Caenorhabditis elegans: one gene and its partners. The protein of the gene in region 1 purifies or fractionates together with the protein of each later gene. This does not show direct contact. Each region holds a gene or a part of one and is shown in the gene's direction. Other genes may lie near its edges. The genes, in order: tag-297, srh-56, F53F4.15 and acs-11.

Region 1 (7,056 bases):
CTCCATCAATCTTTCCGTTTTATAAAGATGATGTGGAGGAACAGTTTTTTCCAATTCCAGATGTAATCAGTTTTTTTTAATTCTGAGGTTCCGTAAATAATAGTTTCAGCTCATCGAGAAGTCATCTTTCGAAAAATCCGAAAAAGACCGACTCCTAGCGTTTTTCATGGAAATTTCCAGAACCCGACCAATTTTGGATGAGGCCATGAAAGTACATAGTTGCCGCGAAATTTTTTTTGAAATTTTCTAATTTTCAGATGATAAAGCTTCTCAATCCTGAGAAGCAATCATTTTCAAATCAGCAAGAGAAGGAGGCCGTTTTATCAGCAACTGATAACATGAGTCAGAATTTTGAGAATCTTGAAAAGTCACTGAGCAAAAATCAGAAAACTGAGCTCAAAGAAAGCGGATTCTCGTTTTTGGAAATGCCGCAAATGGAGAATCTTTTCGGGAACTACGGTAAGAACCAAATAAAATAATTACCATAATTTTTTTGACTTAACAAATTTTTCTCCTTTTCCGTCAACTTCCCAAGTAGGTACGATTTTGCACGCAAAAATACCGAGTCAGAATTTCAATGTTTATGGAATAGAGAAATATAAAAGAGACTTATCTCGAGTCTGCGATTGTGTCTACCGTATACTTACTCTATGCTTGCCTAACCTCGTATCTGCATTTTTTTGGGTCTACCCCATGCCTACTAGCTTTTCTACTTGACTACCTTTTATTTGCCTGTCCACGTGGCTGAGCTAGGTGTCTTTATCATGCCTACCCACTAGCTTATGTACGAATCTACCTTCTATCTGCCTGCTTGCCTACTTGGCTGACTTTTGTGTTTACTTTGCGGCTAACTACCTTTCTGTCAATGTATCAACCTTATAATTACGCGCCTACTATCAAGTTTTTAACGTAATTTAAAAATTAATGACACAATCTTAAATAATCAAAATCTTAACCTTGCCTAACAATCAAAATCTTAACCTTTGCTGAACAAGTAAGGGTGATTGAATAGAAACTTTAGTTTAAAAATCTAAATTTTATTCATTCCAGGCGCTGACTCAACTCTGCAAAAACCTGAAATGCAAAGCTACCGTAACTACACCAAATCTGAAAGAATGCTCTCCCTCTGGAAGTCCATCGAAAACATCGCGTATCCCGTGAGAAGAGTGAAACGTGGTAGAACCATAAGAGTTGGCGACGTAACTGTATACACTTCACTGAATCCGACTGTCTTCACTCCGTACATGTTTTCTCCGGTTTACGGATTATCTGTATTAGGTCCCGTCATCTTCTCCCCCAACATATTTTCTCCACTGATTCTCAACCCTTCGGTATTATCTCCATGGATATTTTCTCCGGCAGTACCATTACCATTTATTCTCTCACCATATCTACTATCCCCATACATCTTCTCCCCATTAGTTATGGCTCCATTTATCCTGAATCCATATGTGTTGTCTCCAAACATTTTCAATCCATATGTGCTAAGCCCGTTAGTTCTTTCACCACTGTTCCTGTGCCCGGATGTATTTTCTCCAATGGTTCTAGGTGGCGTCATACTCTCGCCCAACAGCTTTTCTCCTGCAGTTTTCTCAAAATCGTATATTATGGCCACAGTTTTATCCCCCACAGTACTTTCATGACACATACTACATATAACAGAAAATATGTACATAATAAGAGTTTATTTGTGATGTTTCAAATGAGAGATTAAAATTACCTTGCAATCTATTATATTTAAACAAGTTGTGGGTAAAACATGAAGAAGAAAAATTAAAATTTTTGAACTATTTTTTGTCAGACTTTCAAAGCAGTTATGAATTTTGACATGGAACTTATAGCCATCCAAAATATTAAAAATTGATTTAAAAAATTGCCTCCTACACAACAAAACCAAACTTCTCCGAAGTGTGTCTACTTTACCAATAAAATATCTGAACTTTTGGAATATCAACTGACGTGAGTTTTAAGACACCTGTCGCTGAAGTCGTCTACACTAAAAAAACTTTCTCTTTGTAATTTAATCTAACTGACTCATCGGCAAAGTATCACTTTAAACTGAACACATACAAATTGGCTAAGAAGAGGAAACAAGCCGGTGTAGAAATATAAAAAGGCAAATGGAGATTCACCAAAAAGCTGAAAAACAGGATCATCATTTACCACCAGCCGCATTTGCTTCTTTTTCTCAAAACGAAATTATATCGATGACGCCGATCTTAAACTTGCGCATCACCACCAACATCACTTCACTTTCCTTCAGCTGTCCCCATACATCTCATTAGGCTTTCGCTTGTCTCAACCGTCGTCCTCGTCGTTCGATGAATGTTAAATAGACATAGTAGTTGCCCTACATCCTCTCCACTTTGATTATCTTTTATCTCCCTATCCGTTCTCTTTTTATCCCTATTGATCCAAAATCATCAGCGATAGTTCTTGTTCATCTTAATTTTTTACTATATTTGTATTTATGTTGCTCTAAAAATTCAAAAAAAAATTCGAAAAATTCAAAAAAAGTTGTAAAATTCAATTGCCAATTGCCAACTTGGGGCCAATTTGAAAGTCGTCAGAAATGAATGTTTTGATCATAATCATATTATACTACGTAAAATTTGAATGCATAGGTAGCCATATTAAAAATACGAGCAGAGTTAAGATTTTCCAAATTTTGAGCCGCCATAAAATTTTCTGAAATTTTGTCGAGAAGAGTTGCTATGATAAAATGATGTGTTTTTGAAGTGTTTTCGAGTATGAGGAAAATATCGGATACCAAATCGCAAAATTTCTCATTTTCCTAAATACTTTAAATTTTTTAAACTGAAATTTTCAGATGCGGAGAAGAGTTCTCCTTTGCCTAGTCTCATTAACTGTAGCTGTGAGTGCGCAGAGCCTGGTGCCAAATCATGTTAGTCTGAATGAGAAGAGGAAGCACATTGAGGTCGACTCATCGTGGTTGGACAAGAAGCAGAAAGAAGTTCAGAGGGTTAGTGAAATGAATTTTTCAAATATGAAAATTTTCAAAAGTTGTACTCCGATTTTTATCTAAATCTAGATGCATCTTCGAAAAAACTCGCATAGTTATCTTTTCAATTAAACGGAAATAAAAATGCTTAACAATTAAAAAAAAAAAGTTTCAGGTATCTCTCGACGCATCTAACAAGGAAAAGGTTGTTCTGGATCTATTAAACACCCAGCAGAAATTCAGCGCCTCTTCTTCCGGAAATGTCGCTGCCGCCGAAACTTTCGACGGGAAGAGGGCTCAAGTGCAGAAGATTGGAGATAAGGGAGGAATCGCTACAGTTGACGGGCACAAGTGAGTGGTCGGAAATTAAATTATTAGGCGAAATCTTAAATTCAGAGCTCAACTCCGCACAAAAACCGACGGCGAAGGTGAGCACGCATTGCTCAAAGCTGATGGAAAGTACGAGCTTGATACTGTCGCAAAGGGAGATCTTAAAGGAGATCCATCGGTAAGAGTACTTTTGAAGGAAAAAAAACGAACAAAATGGGATTTTGATATTTTCAGAAAACCGAATTTGAAGCCAACAACGAAAGGCTCAATTTCAAGCTGAACCCACACGCTCATAATAATAACACCGGAGATGGAACTTTGTCGTTTTTGGATAGAGTGAGTTATGAAATTTCACATTTAATCTTTAAACTTACCAGATTAAAAATATTCACTGTAAAAATTTAGGAACAACAAAATCACCGGACTCTTGCGGGTCCAAATGATTATTTTATATCTATTTATTCATTATTTCTTTCCCGAAACTTTATTATGGCATCGGCTTCCAAAGAAATTCGGGAGTTGTCGATCTTGCCAAAATCTAAAGTTTTTTTGGAAAAAATGCCGCATACCTTTTATAAAAAAAATTTTTAACTAACAAATGAGGACAAATATTTAACTTTCAACATTTTCCAGGAAAAGAACAAGAACGGAAAATATGCCTACACAATCTCCCAAACCGGCAAGAAAACCGATGCTACTCTCTCAGCTGACAACCTCGTCGGTACCGATCTTGAGCAATCGCTTTTCGGCAGAAGAAACAACAAATATCATTGCACAGCAGAGACACCAGGAGTATCCCAGTGTTATGACGCCAAGGGACATTCTGTTGGAAAGGTTGTTGCCGATAAGAATGGAAACACTGTAGTCTACAATGATAAGGATGTGCCAATTGGAACCGGATCCGTCAAGCAAACCGGGCCGAAATCCTATGAAGCAGTTATTTCCAAAAATCTTTTCATCGCAAAGTTGAAGGATGTCAGGTCAGCACCATGCTGTAAGGAGCTGACCGGTCAAGAATGCACTCAGCCAATTAAGCTAGCCAACCCAACATTCAGCCATCCATCTCAACGAGAAGGGGACGGAACTGTTCACCTCACATGGCCAGATTGCTTTGATATGGGAATTGATGTCACTCTTCCACCAGGAGTTCATATTAATAGGCTCGCCATGAAGCTTGATGTCTCCATCCAACCAATCGGAAAGCTCCGATGCATGGATGTTGCCACCTGCGGTCGTGAATGCTTCTACTGTGATTGGTGCAAGGAATCTCGAAAGCTGAAACTTTTGGAGAACACCGAGGGAAATCTCTGCAGAGCCACCGGCGAACGTACATACCGATTAACTGTCAAGCTGTGCCCACCACCAGAGGATCCAAACTTCACAATGTGCACCGCATTTTCTAAATCTGTTTGGCAGAAAGACTATTGGCAGAAGCAAGGAGCAGTAGATGTCTGGATGAAGTTCTACGAGCGTGGGCAAACTAGACCGGAGCTCGAGAAGGAATTCTTCGCCCAAATCGACAACCCGCTTCTGGGAAAAGCTTTCAAATTTGCCATCATTGGAGAATGGCTTGCTGCCAACTCACTTGACCAGGGATCCTACACCCCAACCAACTCCGAACTCTTGGAATACTGGGTCTCGAAGAGAGATCCAGATCGTCTACTTGCTTGCCAGCACGCTGTTGTCGATTATGACATTGAGGGAGCTAAGGTCAAGACCAACTTGCTCTTTGAGGCAGCCACTACTGCAAACTCAATTCCAAATATTTTGAAGGATAAGAAGTGTGGAGCTTTTGAAAAACTTCAAGAAGATAGATTCCAAAAAGAAGCTGCCGATTACAAAAGAACTTCCGGCGGCGGAAACTTTTTATCCGGTCTCGGAGGCTTTTTGAATACGGTCAGAGGTTGATTTAAGATACCTAATTCATATTTATTATTTTCTACCAATGTTGATTGTCTTTCGACTTAATTTAAATTTGATTGTTTGTATATATTTTTTATTTCTTTATTACAATAAATTTTCTGATCTCTATATTCACATCCTGTTTGGAACTACGAGATCGGGTGATTATTCTCATTGCCCCCTCCACTTTAACAAATGTTGTTTTGAACACACCGATACAATCAATTTTCAATTCTAATTTTCATTTTTGGCCATATTTTAGTTTTAGTTGGCCTAGCCTAAGACAGAGCCTAAGCCAGAGCCTACGTCTACTCCTTCGTCTATGCATACGCCTATGCTTGAGCCTACGCCTACGCCTATGCCTGAGCCTAAGCCAAAGCCTAAGCCTGAACCCTCAAAAATTTCAAAGACAGAACCCTGACACTGCGGTTTCAGAAATAATTTGAACAATTTTAAAAGACTGAACACAAAATAATTTATCTCGAATCAAAAAGTTCAATATCCTGTAAACCATTTAGTGTACAGACCATTTGGGAAGACTACCGATGGGCCTCAACCTTCAAGCTTTGCACGTAATAAAACTGGTCAAAGTTATCCTGAAAATATTCATGGGTATACGAACGGTAGAACAGTGCAACTAACCCATTCAAGATTGAAGAACCATTTGTGCTCGTAGTCCCGTTTGCCTACCATTGTATGGAATACGGGATCCATAAAATCTCCTCCCGCGTGTGTTTGCATCATAAAGTGAGTTTTCGCTTCAGCAGGAAGTACAATGTCCTCATATTGAACACGGTAAGACTGTAAAGTTCAACTTAAGATGATATTCTTGGAAGAAAAACTTACATGAACACTGATGTTATAGGAATTTGTTGATGATCCAAAACTACTTCGAGATCGTCTGAAACGTAGAAAAACAAATCAATATTTTCAATTTCTGTTTACTCACGGAAATGATCCATGGACACCATGGATCCGTTCAGACAACTTTCGGTTTTCAAGTTATTCAGATTTTTGGTGAACCGATTCAAAAAATCCACGGATGAGAAGAATGTGAACGTTGGTGTATAGTCCGCTGCAACTTCGTCAAGCTTCTCTGCAACAACTTCGCGAATCGCAATAAGTGAAAGATCCATGAGATCAACGGTCACTGGACAGAACCACTCCAAGTTAGTGATAAACAGTTTTTCGTTTTCCACGTCCTAAACATACTTTTGAAAAATTACAGGTAAGGTTACAAAGCTCAAATTACAAATCTCCCAGTCAACTTGAAATTCCACTCATGCAAGGGTGCAGTTATATTGGTTCCGATTTGAAGATTCATGGAAATCCGTGCCGTGAGATTTTCCATCGTTTTACTCAACAAATTAACCTTCAAAAAGTCCGTATCCCCATCCTTTGGTCTCCACATCATTAGGAATTTCCGGTAGAAAGATATGAATTGCTCTAAAGTTAAAAAAAAAGTTGAAATTCAAATAATATGGTTACCAACCAGCGGTATAGTCAGCCATTTGCGTTTCTCTTGCACGGCAAACCTGAATGCTCGCACCCTTGGGATCAAAAGAGTACATCCAATACTTTGGTATGCCACTGTAATTTGCAATAATTGGATGGAAAAATCTCGGTGTGAATGCTTTCATGATTTGTTGACTTGAATATTTAATATCAAGATTTTTAGCAAGAGCTTCAGAGGATTCAATGACAGAGTGTCCAACAATTCCCAAATCCCGACAACTTCCACCCTGGGCAATGTGAGTGATTGCATAGGCGCTGTGCTTGATGTGTTCCTAAACAACTTTACAATTGGTTTGCGATTGACTTTGATCTTCAAGGACAAAAGGCCAAAAAATCGGCAAAGCCGA
Region 2 (5,903 bases), on another chromosome or scaffold:
GACACTTTTTGACAAGCTCCACAACACTAAAATAAGTTACAATTAAAAAAATCCCCTGTAAATAAAATATACCTTCTCAAGTTCAACTTCATCATATCATCAAAAATGCCAATCGCCGCCTCGGAGCCAATTTTTCCAGATGGGTCAGCAAACGCCGCTCCAGCATTGTTAATCTGAATGGAACAGTCAAAAATTTTAAAAAGTCGAGAAATCTCACCAAAATATCGATTTTACCAAATCTGCTCAAAGTGCTCTTGATGAGCTCATCTTGACATTCGCTCTCATTCAAGTCGCCGAGAACAATGTTGATGTTGTCACTGGAGCCACCGTTTTTATGAATCTCATTCACAGTTTCCTGGATTTTTTCCGAGCTTCTTCCGGTTACCGTAACCTTAGCTCCCTCCTGAGCAAGGAGGACTGCCGTGGAGCGACCAATTCCGGAAGATGAGCCTGAACGTTATACTTTGAGAGACTTTATCTCCAAATTGGTCTGCCAAAACATAAAAAAAAGAGATTTTCAAAAGCTTAACTCAACTACAGTAATCCTACAGTAATCCTACAGTAACCCTAAAGTACCATTACAGTATTTCAACGCTACTCTAGTTAAACTTAATAAATTCCAAACAAATATGTTCCCCCAATTGAACAGACTATTTTACAAAATGACTGAAGGTACTGGATGAAAAATTTCACTACATTTTCTAAAAAAAACCCTTACCTGTAATTATTGCAACTTTATCAGAGAATCTACCCATTTTTGACAAGTACTAGATTTTGGTCACTAAAAGTGAATCTCAAAAATTTATATACTGCCGCGCACGCCCGCAATGTAATTTGTTCGTTCAAGTGTTGAAAATGGGAGGATCGCCAGACTGTGAGGTCGCGTGCCGATTAGGGTATCTCTCGATAAACAAATTAATACAGATTAAACTTTTTTTCGGTTTTGTGAGAGATGAACTTTGACCATGTAGACAAATGCTAGTTTTTGAGTTTTTTTTTCGGTTAAACTAAAATATCTAAGGCTCAATGTCCTCGCAGATTTTTGGACTCAAACTATGAGTTGCAAGATTTAATTAGCGGCTATAAAGTTTTGTGCTAAATTGTGTGCAAATGTTATTTTAGTGGAATTCGATTTATGACTCGCAAACACCAAATGGAAGGTAAATCTAAAAAATGTAAATTCTTTCATTTTGGCGCCAGAAAACTTTCGTACAAAAAATGTAGGAACACTGCAGAAAAATAATTTTTTATCCAGACAGTGGTTTTCTTAAAAAAAAACTTCGTACCTATAATTAAATTCTGATACCTCAAAAATTGAAAAATCGACCACACAACAGCTTCAGGACCCCTGAGGTTTTCAAAAACTTTACAAAAATTTACCATACTTTTAAAATAAGTATCAGATTGTTTAAATATTCAAATAACATTTAATTATGTAATTTGATGAAGAAGAAGTTTTTCTCTGAAAGATTCCTGGTCACGAAACATTTACAATTAACCATAAATCAAAAATTCAAGTCAGAAAAGTACTTGAACACGACCTTCTGGAGAAACGATTTCTGAGAAATAAGGAAATTGGGAAACTTGTGTACCCCGATTGATCAAATTAGCAGGTTTGTGGAAATGTATTACATCAACGATCAAATGTTTATCGGCGTGAAACAACTACCGCGCGGCTCATTTTATTGAACTTTTTGGCGAGTTCAGTCACATTTTGAAAGCTTTTACTTCTGAGTTTCATAAGTATGTAGTTTTTTGGAATATAACTAAATCTATTGGTTTCCAAAAAAATCTACTTAGATTTGGTAGAAAGTTCAATTTTTCTAGATTTGTTAGGTCGTCACTAAGTTTGCAAAAATAGCATAAATTTATGACATTTTCGAAGTTTGTTTGCATTTTTCTCGCTTCGGCAGCTAAGAAGCCACAGACAAAACACAGCAGGATACCTGATTTCTACTGCGGTGTAGTAGATTTCTGGTCAAATTAGAAGTCGAACAAATTATGAGGATCTACTTTTTTCAAACAACTATTCGAACTGAATCCGCTGAGTTTCTTCTAGCAATTCCTACAATTGTTTTTTTTGACATGTACCCCAAACCTTTGATTTTCAATTTTGACTTCATCTTCAGCACCGACTACTCTTAGTCCTTTCTTAGCCCGATAATTTGGATCAAACGTTACTTTTAGGTGGATAAGAAGCTCAATTTTTTTGAATAGGCCCTTGTTTGAATAGAATTAAAACCAAGTTTTTGTCCAATTGATAAATTTCCAGCTGTTGAACCTAGGATTCTGAAATGTTGAAATAAAAAGGTTTCTGTAAAAATTGAAGAACTAATTGTAAAGATTTTTCTGGTAAAGCCTCTATTCCGGACAAAAAATCAGGAAAGATGTGGGGTCCCATTTACTTTCCAATTAACCCGGGAAATGTCCGCTGCAAGACATCAGTTTTTTACACTTTTTTGCCGTATTGTTTTGCATCGCCAACCTAGATGATCATTTGATCTGTCACAAAACACATTTCCCTTTTTAAATGTCCCTAATCACTAACACAGCATTTAGCATTACATCGAAACTCCAAGTCAGAGCCTCCTAGAAAAATAAATTTCCGAGAAAAAAAAATTGAAAACTCCGCACCTCAAATTATCAAATTAGCAGGATTACGGTGGTATTACATCAACGATCAAGAATTTTTCGGCGCGTCCAACTCTACCGCGCGGATCATTTTACATGCAAATGGGGCTTTGAACTTTTAGGCTCTGGTTTTCTGGCTTTTTAAGGAATTTTTCTTGTAACGCTTAGCTTGTGAACACTTTCGGAATTCCTATCGAAACCTATTATATTAAACATCTTCCAGGAAACCAATGGCATGGCCAGACAACAACACCTCAAACTGCCGGGAAACCTACTCCTATTTTGGCTCGGCAGACTATCTGCGCAATGCATATCATTTCACAGCACTTTTAACAGTTCCTCTATCCATATTCACATTTTACACAGTTATAACAAAGACGCCAAAGCGGATGAAAAATATGAAAATCCCACTTTTAATATCCCTGGCTTGGAGCACAAATCTCGATTTGATGTTCACAGTGTACTCGGGGCCGTATATATTTTTTCCGAGTGCCTCCGGAGTACCCCTTGGGCTTCTAGGATATTTGGGAGTAGGTGTCAAGTGGCAGTCGTATTGGGGACAGGTTTCCGTCACTAGTAAGTTTTAGGATCTTTTAGGAAATTTAAATATAAATTTCAAATACCACATGTTTTTCAGTGATGGGTGTCTGTTTTATAATGCTCTATGAAAATCAACATAGTCAAATTTCCACGATTCGATTCAAAATCAAACGGAGAAAAACTCGTTTAACATATTTCGCATTAAACTATTTATTCACATTTGTTGTTATGCTTCCATTTTATCTAGACGACACTGACCAATTGAAAATGAGACAGAAGGTCTTGGAGGTTAGTAAAATGTACTAAAATGCCCATTCAGAGATATTAGAAATGTTCAAAAAATTTTATAAAATTTTATATTTAAAGTCAAAAATGTGAAAACTCTCAGTTTTCACATATCCTAATTTTGGAAGTCGACCAAAAGATTTTTTTTGAATTAATTGCGTTCTTATTAATAATATTGAAACATTCTAGGAGTTCAGATCTGCGGGAATTTTCAATTTTTTTCAAAAATGTCAATTTTTGAATAACTAAAAACTTTTGAAGTGTTTATTATATTTTTCGGTCGTGTGTATTTAACACCCGTCTTCAAATTCAACTTAATTTTACAGAGAATCCCCTGTCCGACGAGCGAATTCTGGGACCCAAAAACCTATGTACTGCTGCAGGGCGGAGAGGTCTTGCCATTCTGGTCAATCACAATTGGTTTTGGATTTGTTATTTTCCAAACTTTTTTCTTTTTGTTACACACCGTTTATCACCTCACACTAGTATCAAGTGCCAAAATATCGGCGGCGACGAAGAATCTTCAGCGAAAGTTTCTGAAGAATGTTTCTATTCAGGTGAGTATAACTATAACTGAAAATTAACTGGAATAGCCAAATGAAACTGCAAAAAAATGCAAAAAAAATTTAAATGGGTTTGTTTCAATTTTAAAAATTTAAAAATGTTTTTGACAAATTGAAAAACCACAAAATTTTTAAAATTTTAAACATTTAATTCTAGCATGTGTTTTTTTAGATCTCAATTCCATGGATTGCCATTGCATTTCCTGTGGCCTACACTATGTATGCAGACAAAATGAATTACTATAATCAAGGTGAGAAAGTGCAAATTATTTAAAAAAGCCAAAACATGGCTAACACGTTCCAAACTTTTGCAGCCTACAACAACAACGCTATGCTAATTATGGCAAATCACGGACTTCTATGCACCTGTTGCACCCTTTTTATTTACAAACCATACAGAGATTTCACTAAAAGTCTGATCCCTGGACAACGATTTTCACAACGGAGAATGACTATCATCGTGGAACCTGTGACGTCTCCACATGGAAGTGTGTCTAATTAGTTTTTTTTAAATTTTCGTTTTATTTGCCAAGCAAGATTTTTTTACAAATATTTAGTAAATATGTTTTTTTTGGACAAAACTTGACTATTTTCACTCGGGAAACAGATGCGCATCTTGCTAGTGAGAGCCATTTTGGCAATTTTGGCATATTCATCAATTTTGAAAAATTTTGGCAATTTCACGAATTTCAGCAATTTTGACAATTTATCCATATCGGCAAAGTTGTCAATTTTGGTAATTTCGATAACTCTAGGATTTCTGACAATTTTTTTCAATGTTCGCAAATTCAAACTTTTTGGCAGTTTTAAAATATTTGGGCAATTTGGACAAACTTAGAACTTTCACCAATTTCAGCAGTATCATGAATTTTGGCAATTTCGGAAGTTTTTTAACATTTTGGGCAGTCTTGGCAATTTAAGATTTTTGAAAATTTTCGGCATTTTTGAAAATTATGGCAATTCAGGTAACATTGCCGATTTCAGTAATTTCAACAATTTCGAAAAATTGTCAAAAATCGAAAAAAAAAATTTTCAAGTATCGAAGCGTGTGAAAAGTTTCTAGAGATTTCACTGACCTGCTACTTACTCACGCTTCACTGGAAATTTTCCGTGCTTGAGCTATGTCCTTGTTACATCATGTCATCGTGGGAACTAATAAGGTGTCTGTGAAAACTTGCCAAAAAATGAGACAACCTAGTATGTATAATGAGATTAATGTTAGGTACATTCTCTTTTGTTAGGCACGTATCAACACATTCTTCTCAGAACCAAAATTTTGTCATTTGACATATAAGCTGCTTTCGGTGAATATTCTACGCACTCCATGTTTATCAACTGGGCTCACTTTATCATTCCCAAAATAACGTTTATCTTGTCTTTCATAGCCAATCCTGTATTCGTATATCTGATACGTACGGAAAAAGTGATTCAATTCGGTGATTATCGCTATCTTTTATACTTTTTTGCAATTTTTAATCTTACTGCATCAGTTGTGGATATTTTGATACCAGCCGTAAGTTTTTCAATTTTTTAAATCCAAACTTTTCAATTTTTTCAGTGTGTTTATAGCTATCGTTATGCGGCTGTATTCTTCATTGTAGATAGTGTTTTTTCAGAGGTAATATCTTGAATGATAGAGATTCAAATTGCGAGTTCAAACAATATTATATTTACATAAATTGTTATCCGAATAATTAAAATCTACAACAAGTAATTAAAAAAAAAACTAAAACATTTCGACCGGTTTTGTTGAAAAAGGTTACAGTTTTTTTCAACAAAAAACAAACATTTCCAAAAAAAATTTGTATTGTGTGATTAATCTTTTTGAAGCACAACTACGAGCCTTTAAAATAGTTAAAATTGAATTGAGTTTTTTCGAATACT
Region 3 (4,882 bases), on another chromosome or scaffold:
GAAGAGATCATCTGATGATTCAGTAATAAATGAAAGAGTCTCTGAAGAGGGAAGTGTTGCTCTGGAAAAATCAATGGGCGGTTCATATCTTCCATCTATTCCAATTTTCACATTTAAAACACTTCCAACCATATTTGTTTTCAGTTGAATGTTTTGAAAATCGTCGCCCCATGGATTTTTGGGACCATTGTTCTTTTGAAGATTATATGTAGAACCGTTTTGAGAATCAATGTTATATCCGACACCATCTTTGAAAAAGCATGATGGTGATCCATCGATATTATCAATTGGATTCCAGATACACCCACGTGCTTCACAGAGAACTTGACTTGCAGATGGTTCAGGATAACAATTGATTCGTGGTCCGGCAATAGAGAATTGAAACAAGAATGGGAGAAATATGAATACTAAACTCTTAGTTTTCATTTTAAAATAAAATGACAGAAAAGTGACTGCAAAGTGGAGAATATTATTGGGATTATATAAGTTGATAAGGGGTGGTTAGTAGGTACAAAAAACGTGCTGATAAAATAAAAGATCGATTAGTTCAATTTCAATGTTTAGATTTGATTTCATTTGAAGGAGCGACACTTGATGTTGCATTGGTTCTAGTCGCATTCAACACTGTAAGCCACTCATCTGGAATTGGATTTCCAATCATTTTGTACCACCTGAAAATAGGAATTATTTTTTAATAATTGTTTCAAGCTCACCATGATAGAACTCGTTTCTGGTAAATTTGAATAAATATCAGGCAAGAGAGTGGAGAAAGAACAGGCATAAAAAGGAATCCTGTGAGCGTGAGATATTCAAATACGGGGTGATTGAAAAAGAATTGCCCAATGACGTAAGATACAATGCTCATTCCGTAAAAGCCAGGGATCATGGCTTGCCATGTGAGAGCCTGAAAGGTTTTGGCGTTTGAAGTAATTCGTAAGCATTTCGTCACGTTTTTAATGCAGAAATCAATTGTTTGAAAAATTTCAATCGTCTCGGAGGCAACTTGATAAGTGCAACAAAAATAAGTTGCCACCGAAATCCTACATGATATCTGGTAATTTTTTGAACTAAAAGTAAGGTTTTTTAATAATTAGCTCACTGACGAAGGCGGACTACGGGCGATCCTAGGAACCTAGAACATAGGTTCAAACTTTTTTGCCAAGTTTATTACTTCTACTCACCATACTTCTACTCAAATTTTGTCCAAATCTAACCAGCTGCTAAGCAAAGTTCTTTTAGTCTAACTTGGATGCGAATGTTGTCATGTTTTATGATACATTGCTCATTCCACCCCAACCATAAAAGAAAGCATCATGCATCAACCGTAATCGTTTTGTTATTACCCGAACGCCCATACCTTCAATAGCTGCTTATGCATTTCTTTAGTTTTTGATGACATATCCTTTGAATTAGAAGTAAGGTTCTCAATAATCTTTTTTCTTAATATCCAAATAGTTATGTAGACTGGTGTTATTGGGCACGTCATATGTAGAATTGTGAACATTGCAGAAAACTCAATAATATTAATTGTTCCGCAAATAGTTTCGTTTTGAAGTTGATATTCCGGAAATCGTTCGACGACAATTCGCTTCATTTCATCTGCGTCATCGTCTGCCCACAGAAATGTTATCTTAAAAGTATCAGCTTGAAATCTAAATTGTTTCACATTATTACCATTTGGATAATTGACGGAATTGATATAAACATAAGAATTACTATCAAAGCTTTTCTCGTTGGTGCCGGATGAAACAGGATATAATATCGATATGAGAACCCCATTAGCAATGACCATAGACCATGAGCTACTAATGAAATGTTTATGCTGTATCTGAAATTAAGAAAATGAAGCGTGTCGGGGAATATGTATTATGGTGTACATAAAATAGCAGACATGGGGTCCAAAATAAGTGCACAGTCCACGTGACAAATAAGCCATTGTAAATCCAGCCGGAATATGCCGCATTTGAATGAAAAGATCTGTGAAACAGGCGAGGAAATCGGTCAATGCAAAGTTTATGAGAATTGTGGTGTAAGCGGCGATTGTCTGGAAATGGAAACTGATGTTTGAAGGTTGAAATTGCTTGTCTATGTGATGAGGAATTTCTGCAGAACATTTCCAGCTATCCCACACCTAGTTATAATGGCAGAGTTCTGTAGAAAGCTGAGCCTATATTACGAGATTTGCACAGTTTTTACCAAACTGGGAACTAAAGCTCTCAAATTTTGATTTTAATCTATATTTTATGATTAGTTCAAAGATTTTTCACGAAAAACTAACCTTCGGAGTCCGAAAAAGTGCCAAAAAGAGCACAATTGAATTGAGAATGCAGCCAGAAACTCCGGCAAACGTATGGAAAGAAAGGAAGAATAATGTGATAGAGTCCAGCATTTTTCAAGTTTTTCTGAAAGTGAAAAAAAAAATGGTAAAAGCTCTCTCTTAAATATAAATTTTTCAATAGAAAGAAAATCTTTATTTTAAGGCTTCACTGGAACGATGACTGTGAAGATTATGGTTACAGAATGATTATATTGTTCTAAGGAATGCTAAGAATTTTGCAAAATAAATAATTTTTTGGGAACTAGATTTTCCGTAATCCGTAAAAAAGTAAACAATTATCATATCTATTCACTCGACTTTTCGAAAAAGGAAGGAAAACACATCATGTGCACGTAAGATATCTCTATTTATGCTTCCTCGTGATGGCTCTCAGAGCTGTTAATTGCTTCATTCAGTAGAAAGCGTCTGGCGTACCTGAGAATATATGTACTGTTTGAATTACTCATAGTCTGGGATATATCTGTGTCGTTTCGTATTATATCAATAGTCTAGAACATTAAGTTAACTTGATGTTCTAGACAATTGTCAAAAAAAATTTACAGATCATCAAAATAGCGACGCCTTAATCATATTAAATCTATTACATAGATGTCTGAAGATGATAATTTTTGCCATATCTTACGCGCTTGGGTCTCGCCACGCTGACTACTGACTACTGTAACTCGTGCTGATTTATGACTGATCATGTTTTTATTTAAAAATTTTAGAAGCAATGTTTCATTTGAAACGAAAATTATAATGCATTATTACAGTAACTCGTTGTCAGCGTGGCGAGACCGTGCGCATAAGTATTTAAGATGTGGCGAAAATTCTTATCTTTAGATGTCTAGAATGCGTATTGCGCAAAATATTTCGCGCTACAGTAGTAATTTAAATATTTTCTGTAGTTTTCGCTACGAGATATATTGCGCGTCAGATATGTTGCACAACACGCATTCTCAGAAAGTAGTGATCTCGTAATAATACATTTGGTTAAGGCGATGTCCACGAATTACAAAATTTTATGAGAAAAATATAGGCAAGTTTTAAGAATTCATTCTTGTTCTCTTTCAGAGGTAAATAACGATTGGCTTTTACGCTGAGAAATTGGAAGTGAAACGGTAGAAGTTAAATCCAACCTACAACCTAATGCATCGTTATTCAAAAATTATGTTGTTATTTGGAAAACCTGATAAATCTGAACTATTTATATTTTTAAAGTTAATTTTCAATTAACTTTATTACATACAAAAATGCATTGCGAATCCAGTTCGCCCATATTTTTCAATCTGTCGAGATCACTGAGATATCACCAAAAAATCGTGTTTTCTTGAAGTTTTTCACCTAATCGTCTTTTCCATATTTCTCTTTCCCATTGTATGATTATCAATAATGTTTTCTCTTCATCTCTCTATTCTTTGCTTCACTCTCCTGATTGGTTATTCTATTGAAATGCCACCTGGTCGAATGTGCCTTCCGGAAAGAGTCAATTTTCGTAAAGTCTGGCCATGTGAACATGATAAAACTGCTGCCGAGATTTGTAGGTTTCACGGAGAAGTTGTAGAATTTAATATTACTTTTTGAAGTAGAAGAACGGGAAGATCGTGAAGCAAATCTTCGTGGAGCTCCGTCTGCATTTGCTCGGACAGGATTCTATGATCGTCTATTTCTTCAACAAAATCTTCCAACTGTCTATGATGATAATATTCCATATTATCCTAATTATGGCTACAATCCCAACAAGCCAGTCTGGGGATTGTATCGTTATTCTAACTATTTCATCAATCCATAATTAAATAATTTTAATGAATGAATAAATTTAAAATGATAACAAACAACGACTAAAAACTAAAAGAAAAAAACGAAAAGGGCCTATGGGGGAAAACTCAAAACCAATGATAATGGCGGAAAAATACTCGTATTTGACAAAAATTCGGAGAATGATGAGGAATTGCACATCGATAGATCTAGTTTTTGACGATTGCCGGATGTAGAATCTCGTCACGAAGTGATTTTCCGCCAAGAACCTAAATATATTTCATTAACTGCAACTAATTAGATTTAATTTTACCTGTGCTCTGTCTGGAATATAACTTTTGTAGTTGATCGCCACATATGTAGGATATGTGAGTGCACATACAGTATAATAAGCTCGTAGCAAGGTCATTCGAGCAGGCCGTTCCAGGTGATACCAGGGTAAACTCATCTGGAATAAAAGTCATGAAGTCAAGAAAAATTAGTTCTTTTATGGGTAGAATGAAAGATTCAACTCAATTTTTCAAAATTTAGAAAATCACCGAAAATCACAAAAATTGGTAAAATTGATAATTTTTCAACAAAAAAGTGAATTTCTATGTAGTTTTATTCATGTTTCGTTGACGTTTTTTTAAGTTCGAAATTAATGAGATTTTTTAATTTCTTCTCGAAACTTTGAAAGCATAATTATGAATGGATAAAAACCAAAGAAATAAAAACGAAAAACAACTTGAATTCAACGATGAATATTTATTCAAATAAATTCCAAGAAATAACAAAATTGTTGAAGAAGTAAAAGAAGATCAACGA
Region 4 (7,369 bases), 9.9 Mb from region 1:
ATATGACGTTTGGATTAAAATTTCAAGTAATTTCGATTAATAAAACTGATGTTCTACTTATTAATACGTTGTACCTTTGGAAATAGTCAATAAATAATTGGAAAGTCTTGTTTGTTCGAAAAAATATCGATTTGAAATCTCAAAAATGCCTTTTGTGGCACTTCCAACCAACATAGTTACTTTTTGTCCAATTTCTCAATAAAAATCGTATTAATTGAGCGAAAATACTACGAATTCAAAAGTTTACCATTCAAATTTAAATTTTCCTTTTTCCCGCCGATTTTCGCTACTTCGGCCATGTGCGAGTTTCTAGGCCACGCGGAAATGCACGGCGGCCACGTGGTCCGCAATTTTACGTACACGTCATTTCCGCGGAATTTCCAGTTTTATTTTCCGATTTTTCGCTTAAATTTTTCAATTCGAGATAAAATCAGTTTCATTTGCTAAAAAGAAACGCAAATTTATTTCAAAAAATCAATAATCTTCTTCTATTTGTTTTTCTATGACCGATTCTTTTGAGAATTTAATTTTTTTCAGCCGTTTAAAAGAGAAACCACTTGGGTCCAGTCAAAATGATGAATTTCGAAGTAAGCACAACAAAACGTAAGTTTGAAAATCAGAAAATATATGTAAACTGTGAAACATTTCAGAAATCGGAGTGGGGTTAACGACGTTCGGCTTCTTTTTCATATTTCTCGGAGTGCTGATGTTCCTTGATTCTGCTCTTTTAGCTATCGGAAATGTAAGTATTTATTGTAAATTTAAAGCATAAAATTATTATTTTCAGCTTCTATTCATTGTTGGAATCACATTTATTATCGGCGTGCAGCGAACACTTGTTTTCTTCTTCGAATTCCGAAAACTGAAAGGAAGCATTCTCTTCTTCGGAGGTTCGATCACAAGGAATTCATTATTTTAATTTAAAAATTTATTTTCAGGGATTTTGGTAGTTCTATTTGGGTACCCATTGTTCGGAATGATTGCCGAGTGTTGGGGATTTATTGTCCTTTTCGGGTGAGTTTTTGACTAAAAAATGTTGAGTTTTCTAAATATTTGCAATAGAATCAATATCTTGAATTTTCTGCTCTTTTTCTTCGATTTGTAACAAACATTTTGAACTAATCGCTCACGAAATTAAATTTAATCTAATAATAATGAATTTACAGTGGTTTCCTGCCTGGAATTGTCAATTTGCTCAGAAGTATCCCCGGAATCTCAACAATCACATATCTTCCTGGAATCCGACAGGTCAGTTCTAACGAATCAGGATTTTTATCAATTATTTCAAGTTTTAGGTCCTCGATCGCCTTGCTCCAGAATCCAAGTACCCCGTCTGAAAAGTTCAGGATCTTCCCAAAAATCTCACCAAAAATGGGTTCTATTTTCTTTTTTGTTGAAAATATTTTCTCCTGTGTTGTCCCTTCTCCTCTCATATCACGTTCGGTTCAACTACGATTTCGGCCAAAATGCACATTTTCTGTGTAATATTATTCAATTTTAATTTATTTATTATTAAAAATTTTAAATTTTATCTCATTTCTAAAATATCCCTCAGCCTTTGTTGTATAATACGCTTTCATTTTCTTCTGTTCCTAGGTGAAAAATGTGATTATAATTATTTATTAGATTCCCTTTTTTCCTTTTCTTGTGTTCTGACTCGATATCCATTACATGACTCATTTCGATCAAAAAAAATGATGTTCTATGCTTGTTCTTCAGATCAAACAAATCACGTTTTCACCACCAAAGAACTCATTTCGACGAAGGTTTCTTCTCCCTTCAACCTCTTATCTTTGTTGCCATTTTTAAGAATGACAAATCGAGAATACGAGACGCAGGGCCAACAACATCTCGTTATAAGAAACGGTCAACCCGATCAATTCACGATTTTAATTCAGTTTTCTACAGCTTCCTGTTTTCAAGCACTGCAGATTTGAAACAAAAACCTTGTTTTAAACTTAGAATCTACCTGAAAAGTCCGATAAAAACTGAAAAAGTTCTTACTCGTAGAAAAAATTATTTTTAAAAGAAAAAAAATGCAGAAATTGATGAAATAAGGTTAAAAACCAAATCAAGCATTTTTGAACATCATTTTGAAATAAAAAATTGAAAATTTACGGTATTGTGCATATTTTGTGCAATTAGAATGCGAAAACTTTGAAAAAAAACTTCCAAAGTTGAATTTTAAATAGAAGTTGCCTAATTTTCTTGAATTTTTCATTTTAAAGCATTGTTTCTATTACAGAAAATTAGATATTTCAGAAATGCTCAGTCGTCTAGTCAGCTCCGTCCATCCACAAATTGGGCTCCGTGCCGCTTCTTCTGCAGCCAACAATATTGTCAGTCAAGCTCAGCTTCAATCCGATCCTTCGAAGGTTGCTATTCAATATCCTTCTGAACGTTTTTTCCATAATTTTATAATTTTCCAGCTCCTCTTTATCGATGGCGATCGCAAAACGACTTATGGAGAATTTGTTAAACGAACTGGGCAATATGCAACTGCTCTGACTGAAAAGTACAATATAAAGGTCATTTTATCTTTAAAATTGTATAAATTCAACTTTTCAAATTCAAATTTTCTCAGAAAGGAGACCGTGTGATGGCTAGAGTATCAAAAACGACCGATACAGCTGCTCTCTACATTGCTTGTCTTCAAATCGGAGCACTCTATATTCCAGTCAATCCAGGATATACTGAATCTGAAGCTGCTCACTATATCAAGGATGCGACACCTTCGATTCTAGTCTCGTGCAATGAAGAATTGGATAAAGTTTTCAGAGATAAGATCAGGGTTATCAACGAGGATAAGTTGGCATCTGAAGCAGGAAGCTTGAATGTAAGCTGGAAAATATGAAAAATTTAATAATTTTCAAAAAAAAATTCAAAATTGAAAAAACCACAAATTCCTTGTGATGCTAATCAAGAAATATAGAAAAAAATATTAATTTTACTTTACAAATTCGTGAAAACTTGAGCCTCCAGTTTAAAGGGACACGATCTTCTTCTGCTTGGGTCTCGTCACGATCTCAGCCACCGTGCAGTATCTATTCTGAACGTTTTTAGAAAAAAAAATTAAAAACCAAAATTTTGACAAGAATATTAGGAAAATAGGAAAAGTGTTTGGAGTACAAAAGTGACTACTTTTTTTTGGATTTTTCGGTATCGAAATACCGATCAAACCAAAAAACGCCGTGATCGTGCCGAGACCCACCCGGAAAATATCGTGTGCCTTTAAACTGACATGTCAAAATTAAGTCAAAAGAAAACACAATATACATACTATCCATGCCCAATATTCAAATGCAACATTTTCCAGGCATGCACCATGATCGAACATGTCGAAAAATCGGATCCCGCATCAGTTTGCTACACTTCAGGAACCACCGGACTACCAAAAGGAGCAATCTTAACTCATGGATCATTGTCTAACAACGCACATGATATTGTCCGAGACTGGGGATTTACTGGAAATGATTATAATCTACATGCACTTCCATTCTATCATGTACATGGACTCTATTATTCCCTTCATTGCTCTTTATTCTCACATTCAACAATGATTTGGCGGTCGAAATTTGAAGTTGAAGATTGTATAAAATACATGAAAAATGCGACGGTTATGATGGGAGTACCAACATTCTTTTCAAGACTTTTGGCATCAAAGAATTTCAATAAAGAAGCATTCGGAAATGTTCGAGTATTCATTTCTGGATCTGCACCTCTATCAGTATCTACAATTGAAGAATTCAGGGAAAGAACTGGACAAGTGATTCTTGAAAGATATGGTATGACAGAAGCTGGAGTTATGACTACTAATCCATTGAATGGAGAGAGAAAAGCTGGAACTGTTGGCCCGGCTGTACAAGGAGTTGGATGTAGAATTGCAAAAAATGGAGGAATTGAAGTGAAGACAAATGCGATTTTCGCTGGATATTGGAAGAATCCAAAGAAGACAGCTGAAGAATTCACTGAAGATGGATGGTTTAAAACTGGAGATGTTGGACATCTTGATGAGGATGGTTATTTGACGATTGGTGGAAGATCAAAGGATATGGTTATTACTGGAGGATTAAATGTATATCCAAAAGAACTTGAAGATTTCATTGATACACTTCCATTTGTTAAAGAATCTGCAGTTATTGCATCTCCACATCCAGATTTTGGAGAAGCAGTTGTTGCAATTGTAGTCCCGTCGGAGAAGGTGACTGATGAGAAGGAGTTTGAGAAGAAGCTTATTGGAATTATGAAGAAGAAGGTTGCCAATTATAAGGCAAGTTTTTTTATTTAAAAAATAATCCGAAATTTCAAGATTTTTGCGCTAAAAATACGGTACCCGGACACGACAAATTTAAATGAAAAAGAGTGTGCGCCTTTAGAGTACTGTAATCTTGAAATTTCGTTGCATCGAATTTTTCATCGATTTTTTTTCATATTATGTCAAAATCTGTGCGTTTTTTTCAGTTCTATAATGAACGCATATTTTTATTCAAAAAATTATAGAAAATGGGTGAAAATTTCGCAGAAACAAAAATTTTAAGCTACAGTACTCTTCAAAGGCGCACACCTTTTTGTATTTGACAAAAAAAATTTCGCGTTTGGCTAATATTTTCTGCCATTTTTATTTTTTTGTTGTGAAACTAATCAATAAATGCAGAAAAACTTTAAAAAAATTGAATTCGTCTTGCTGTTTTCAATTTTCTTTTTCATTTTTTTTCTGTGTGCGCCAAGATTACTGTAATCTCAAATTTTCGTTAACGATGATTACTTACTTATTCAGTAAGTAATTTATTAATTAGAAGCACTAAAATAAAATTATGAAAAATCCCGCAGAAACTAAAGTTTTACGTTACAGTACTCTTTAAAGGCGCACAACTTTTTGCATTTAACAAAAATGTGTCATGTCGAGACCGGGTACCGTACTTTTGCGTCAAAAATCTCATAATAATCCCCTTAAAACTTTTTTTTTGAGTTTTCAAATTTCCATCGGACACCGCAATTCTCGTTCAGATATTTGTAATTTTTCAAGTTATAACAACCTGTTTTCAATCAACTTCTATAAAAAAAACATGTGATTTTTATAAATGTTTGATAACATACCTATTCTGCAAATAGGATACAAATATTAAAATCAAATTATCAAAGCTCAATGTCTAACATTTCAGGTTCCAAAGCGAGTGATTGTACTGGATGATTTGCCACGAAATCACATCACTAAGGTCCAGAAAAACGTTCTCCGTGACACCTACAAGAACCTCTTCGCCTAATTCCATTCCCAGTCAACAATACATCCCCAAAATATAGATATCATTTTTCTATTTTCAAATTGTAAATATTTCATAAGTATTGTAGAATCTTTTGTACAATTTTTCAACTTTTAACAGTAGAAAATAACAGTTGTTTATAGATATTTTTTGTTTCTATTGTTCTCCACACACTTTTAGGACGACGTTGTCCTCCTGACCCCGTAATCAGTCAGACTATTCTTAAGATGAGAGACATTTGATTATCAGATTAACATCAATGATATTATATATCTTGGCAACATCTTACGCGGTCAGTGTGTACCCGTTTTGGACATGTTGGAATCACGTGAAGCCCGTGAGAACTTTGGCTATAAAGAGAAGTGAAAAGACAAAAAGGAAGATAAAAAACGAAAGAGTATAGTGATTTATGACACAGATTTGCCCATGGTTTTTGCGAAACTCTTTGCCGAAACTCGATGTGTGATGTGCTAAATACTGTACTTCGAAATGCTTGTCAGCTTCCTTATGGTCTCACCACGAATTTTTTTGAATTGAAACTGCGGTGTGAGCCTTTAAAAAGTACAGTAACCACTTAGCCATTATTCCGCTTTTTTTGCAAATACATGCAAAATAAATCAATACCCAAGGAAGTCACAAAATTACGAGAGGTAGGTTACTGTACAACTTAAAGGCGCTTTCGAGAAGACCCAATTCGAAATGTTTTCATCGTGGCAGCAGCGGGTATCTTAATTTTGCAGAATTCTGAGATATCCTGTTAAAGGCGCACGGATTTATTCCGAGGCCCACCTGAACGAATCCGTGCGCATTTAAGTAGATATGTCTAGGTCCTACGAATATACAATAGCGTATTTCATGATTTTTACACGTCCAACATAAGCCTAAACCTAAAGAAAAGTAAGGAAATGTACCATTTTGCAAATTTTTCTATAAATTATAAATTTACTTTTAAGGCTCCCACTGCGGGCAAGTACGTCTTCAGGCGTGTCTACCTGTTCACATGCCTACTAGGTAGGCCCCGGGCAGGCGTCGTTCGCCTTGGAGGCTGGCAAAAATTGTCCTGAAAATAAACTTACAAATCTGGAATTGTTTAAAAAAACCATCCATAAGTTCCTCGAAGTAGTTCCCCATGCACCTAGTTTGAACCTGCTGGGATCAAAAATTCCGCTGTAAAATATCCAAACGGGAGCGTGAATGAATCATATACAATTCGTCAAACATCTCTCGGTCCAAAAAAGAAATACAAAGAAAGATCTATAACACTTGTTATTTCCCCCGAACAGTGGTTAGTCGCCACCACCCACGCGTAGGAATTTCTTCGAATTTGATAAGAGAGCTATTGAAAAAGAAAAAGGCGACTTTCAACTTTCAAAAATCAGAAAAATGTGACTTCGCCTTCAAAGTGATCATTTCAGAAGTATTTTCAATTGTAGAGAGTGTACATAAAATGGAGAGACATCATGGAGACCTGAAAGTTTTATAAATGGGAGGACGATGGACGGAGTGGTCGGACCTGGACGACGACACTAGCCATTGTTTTCTTCGTTTTAGTTTTTTTTTTCTGATAGCTGATAACTATTTTTTCTTTTTGTTCATATTTTTGAATGGGTCTTGCAGCGAAAAAAGTCCTTCGCTTATTTGAAATTTATTTTTGTTCTTGCTACTTTATCTTAACATTCCGAAGTGGGTGCACAAATGTATTCTACTTTCCCGACATTTGGGCAAAAATACGGTTCCCGGTCTCGACACGACAAAAAATGTAAAAATAAATATATTCTTATCGGGAATCTATCAAAAATTGATTAGTCTTCCAAAAAGCAAAATTACAGTACTCTTTATAGGCGCAAACCTCTTCGCAATAAAACAATTTGTCGTGGCGAGACCCGGTAATATAATTACATAATAAATTTTTGGGTCCTTAAGTACGCATTTTATAAAGTTGATAAATTATAGTTTAAACTTTTGCAGTTTGAAGCTTTGCTTTCACTCATTTTTCTTAAATTTTCTTACCTTATCAATTCCCCTTCTGCAACAATAAAGCTTCTGTAGAAGCCGTAAGGTGTCAAAGTGCATAAAGTGGATTCACGTGATTCATTCACGTGCCACAT

What was found.
Region 2: the proteins of tag-297 (region 1) and srh-56 fractionate together in Caenorhabditis elegans (co-fractionation; one large-scale study listed by BioGRID). This does not show direct contact.
Region 3: the proteins of tag-297 (region 1) and F53F4.15 fractionate together in Caenorhabditis elegans (co-fractionation; one large-scale study listed by BioGRID). This does not show direct contact.
Region 4: the proteins of tag-297 (region 1) and acs-11 fractionate together in Caenorhabditis elegans (co-fractionation; one large-scale study listed by BioGRID). This does not show direct contact.

Annotation. Positions count from the first base shown.
Region 1 is NC_003280.10:14,624,800-14,631,855, forward strand, and holds tag-297 (ShKT domain-containing protein), read left to right. Parts: upstream 1-2,830; coding exon 2,831-2,983; intron 2,984-3,137; coding exon 3,138-3,313; intron 3,314-3,358; coding exon 3,359-3,470; intron 3,471-3,526; coding exon 3,527-3,628; intron 3,629-3,925; coding exon 3,926-5,200; 3' UTR 5,201-5,322; downstream 5,323-7,056. Other genes in the region: mltn-10 (MLt-TeN (mlt-10) related), read left to right, coding at 1-62, 110-211, 258-459, 1,051-1,643.
Region 2 is NC_003283.11:2,768,999-2,774,901, forward strand, and holds srh-56 (Serpentine Receptor, class H), read left to right. Parts: upstream 1-2,861; coding exon 2,862-3,207; intron 3,208-3,268; coding exon 3,269-3,459; intron 3,460-3,782; coding exon 3,783-4,013; intron 4,014-4,191; coding exon 4,192-4,270; intron 4,271-4,333; coding exon 4,334-4,521; downstream 4,522-5,903. Other genes in the region: dhs-15 (DeHydrogenases, Short chain), read right to left, coding at 1-26, 73-173, 218-450, 719-755; srj-18 (Serpentine Receptor, class J), read left to right, coding at 5,344-5,532, 5,578-5,637.
Region 3 is NC_003283.11:13,617,298-13,622,179, forward strand, and holds F53F4.15 (Neuropeptide-Like Protein), read left to right. Parts: upstream 1-3,678; 5' UTR 3,679-3,709; coding exon 3,710-3,857; intron 3,858-3,903; coding exon 3,904-4,109; 3' UTR 4,110-4,179; downstream 4,180-4,882. Other genes in the region: srd-11 (G-protein coupled receptors family 1 profile domain-containing protein), read right to left, coding at 554-671, 714-904, 1,358-1,630, 1,675-1,828, 1,878-2,044, 2,279-2,389; F53F4.16 (uncharacterized protein), read right to left, coding at 4,285-4,344, 4,389-4,523.
Region 4 is NC_003280.10:4,739,875-4,747,243, forward strand, and holds acs-11 (fatty Acid CoA Synthetase family), read left to right. Parts: upstream 1-2,262; 5' UTR 2,263-2,264; coding exon 2,265-2,375; intron 2,376-2,429; coding exon 2,430-2,528; intron 2,529-2,584; coding exon 2,585-2,836; intron 2,837-3,316; coding exon 3,317-4,270; intron 4,271-5,162; coding exon 5,163-5,264; 3' UTR 5,265-5,406; downstream 5,407-7,369. Other genes in the region: eas-1 (putative Golgi transport protein 1), read left to right, coding at 573-603, 651-742, 788-890, 939-1,014, 1,167-1,248, 1,296-1,337.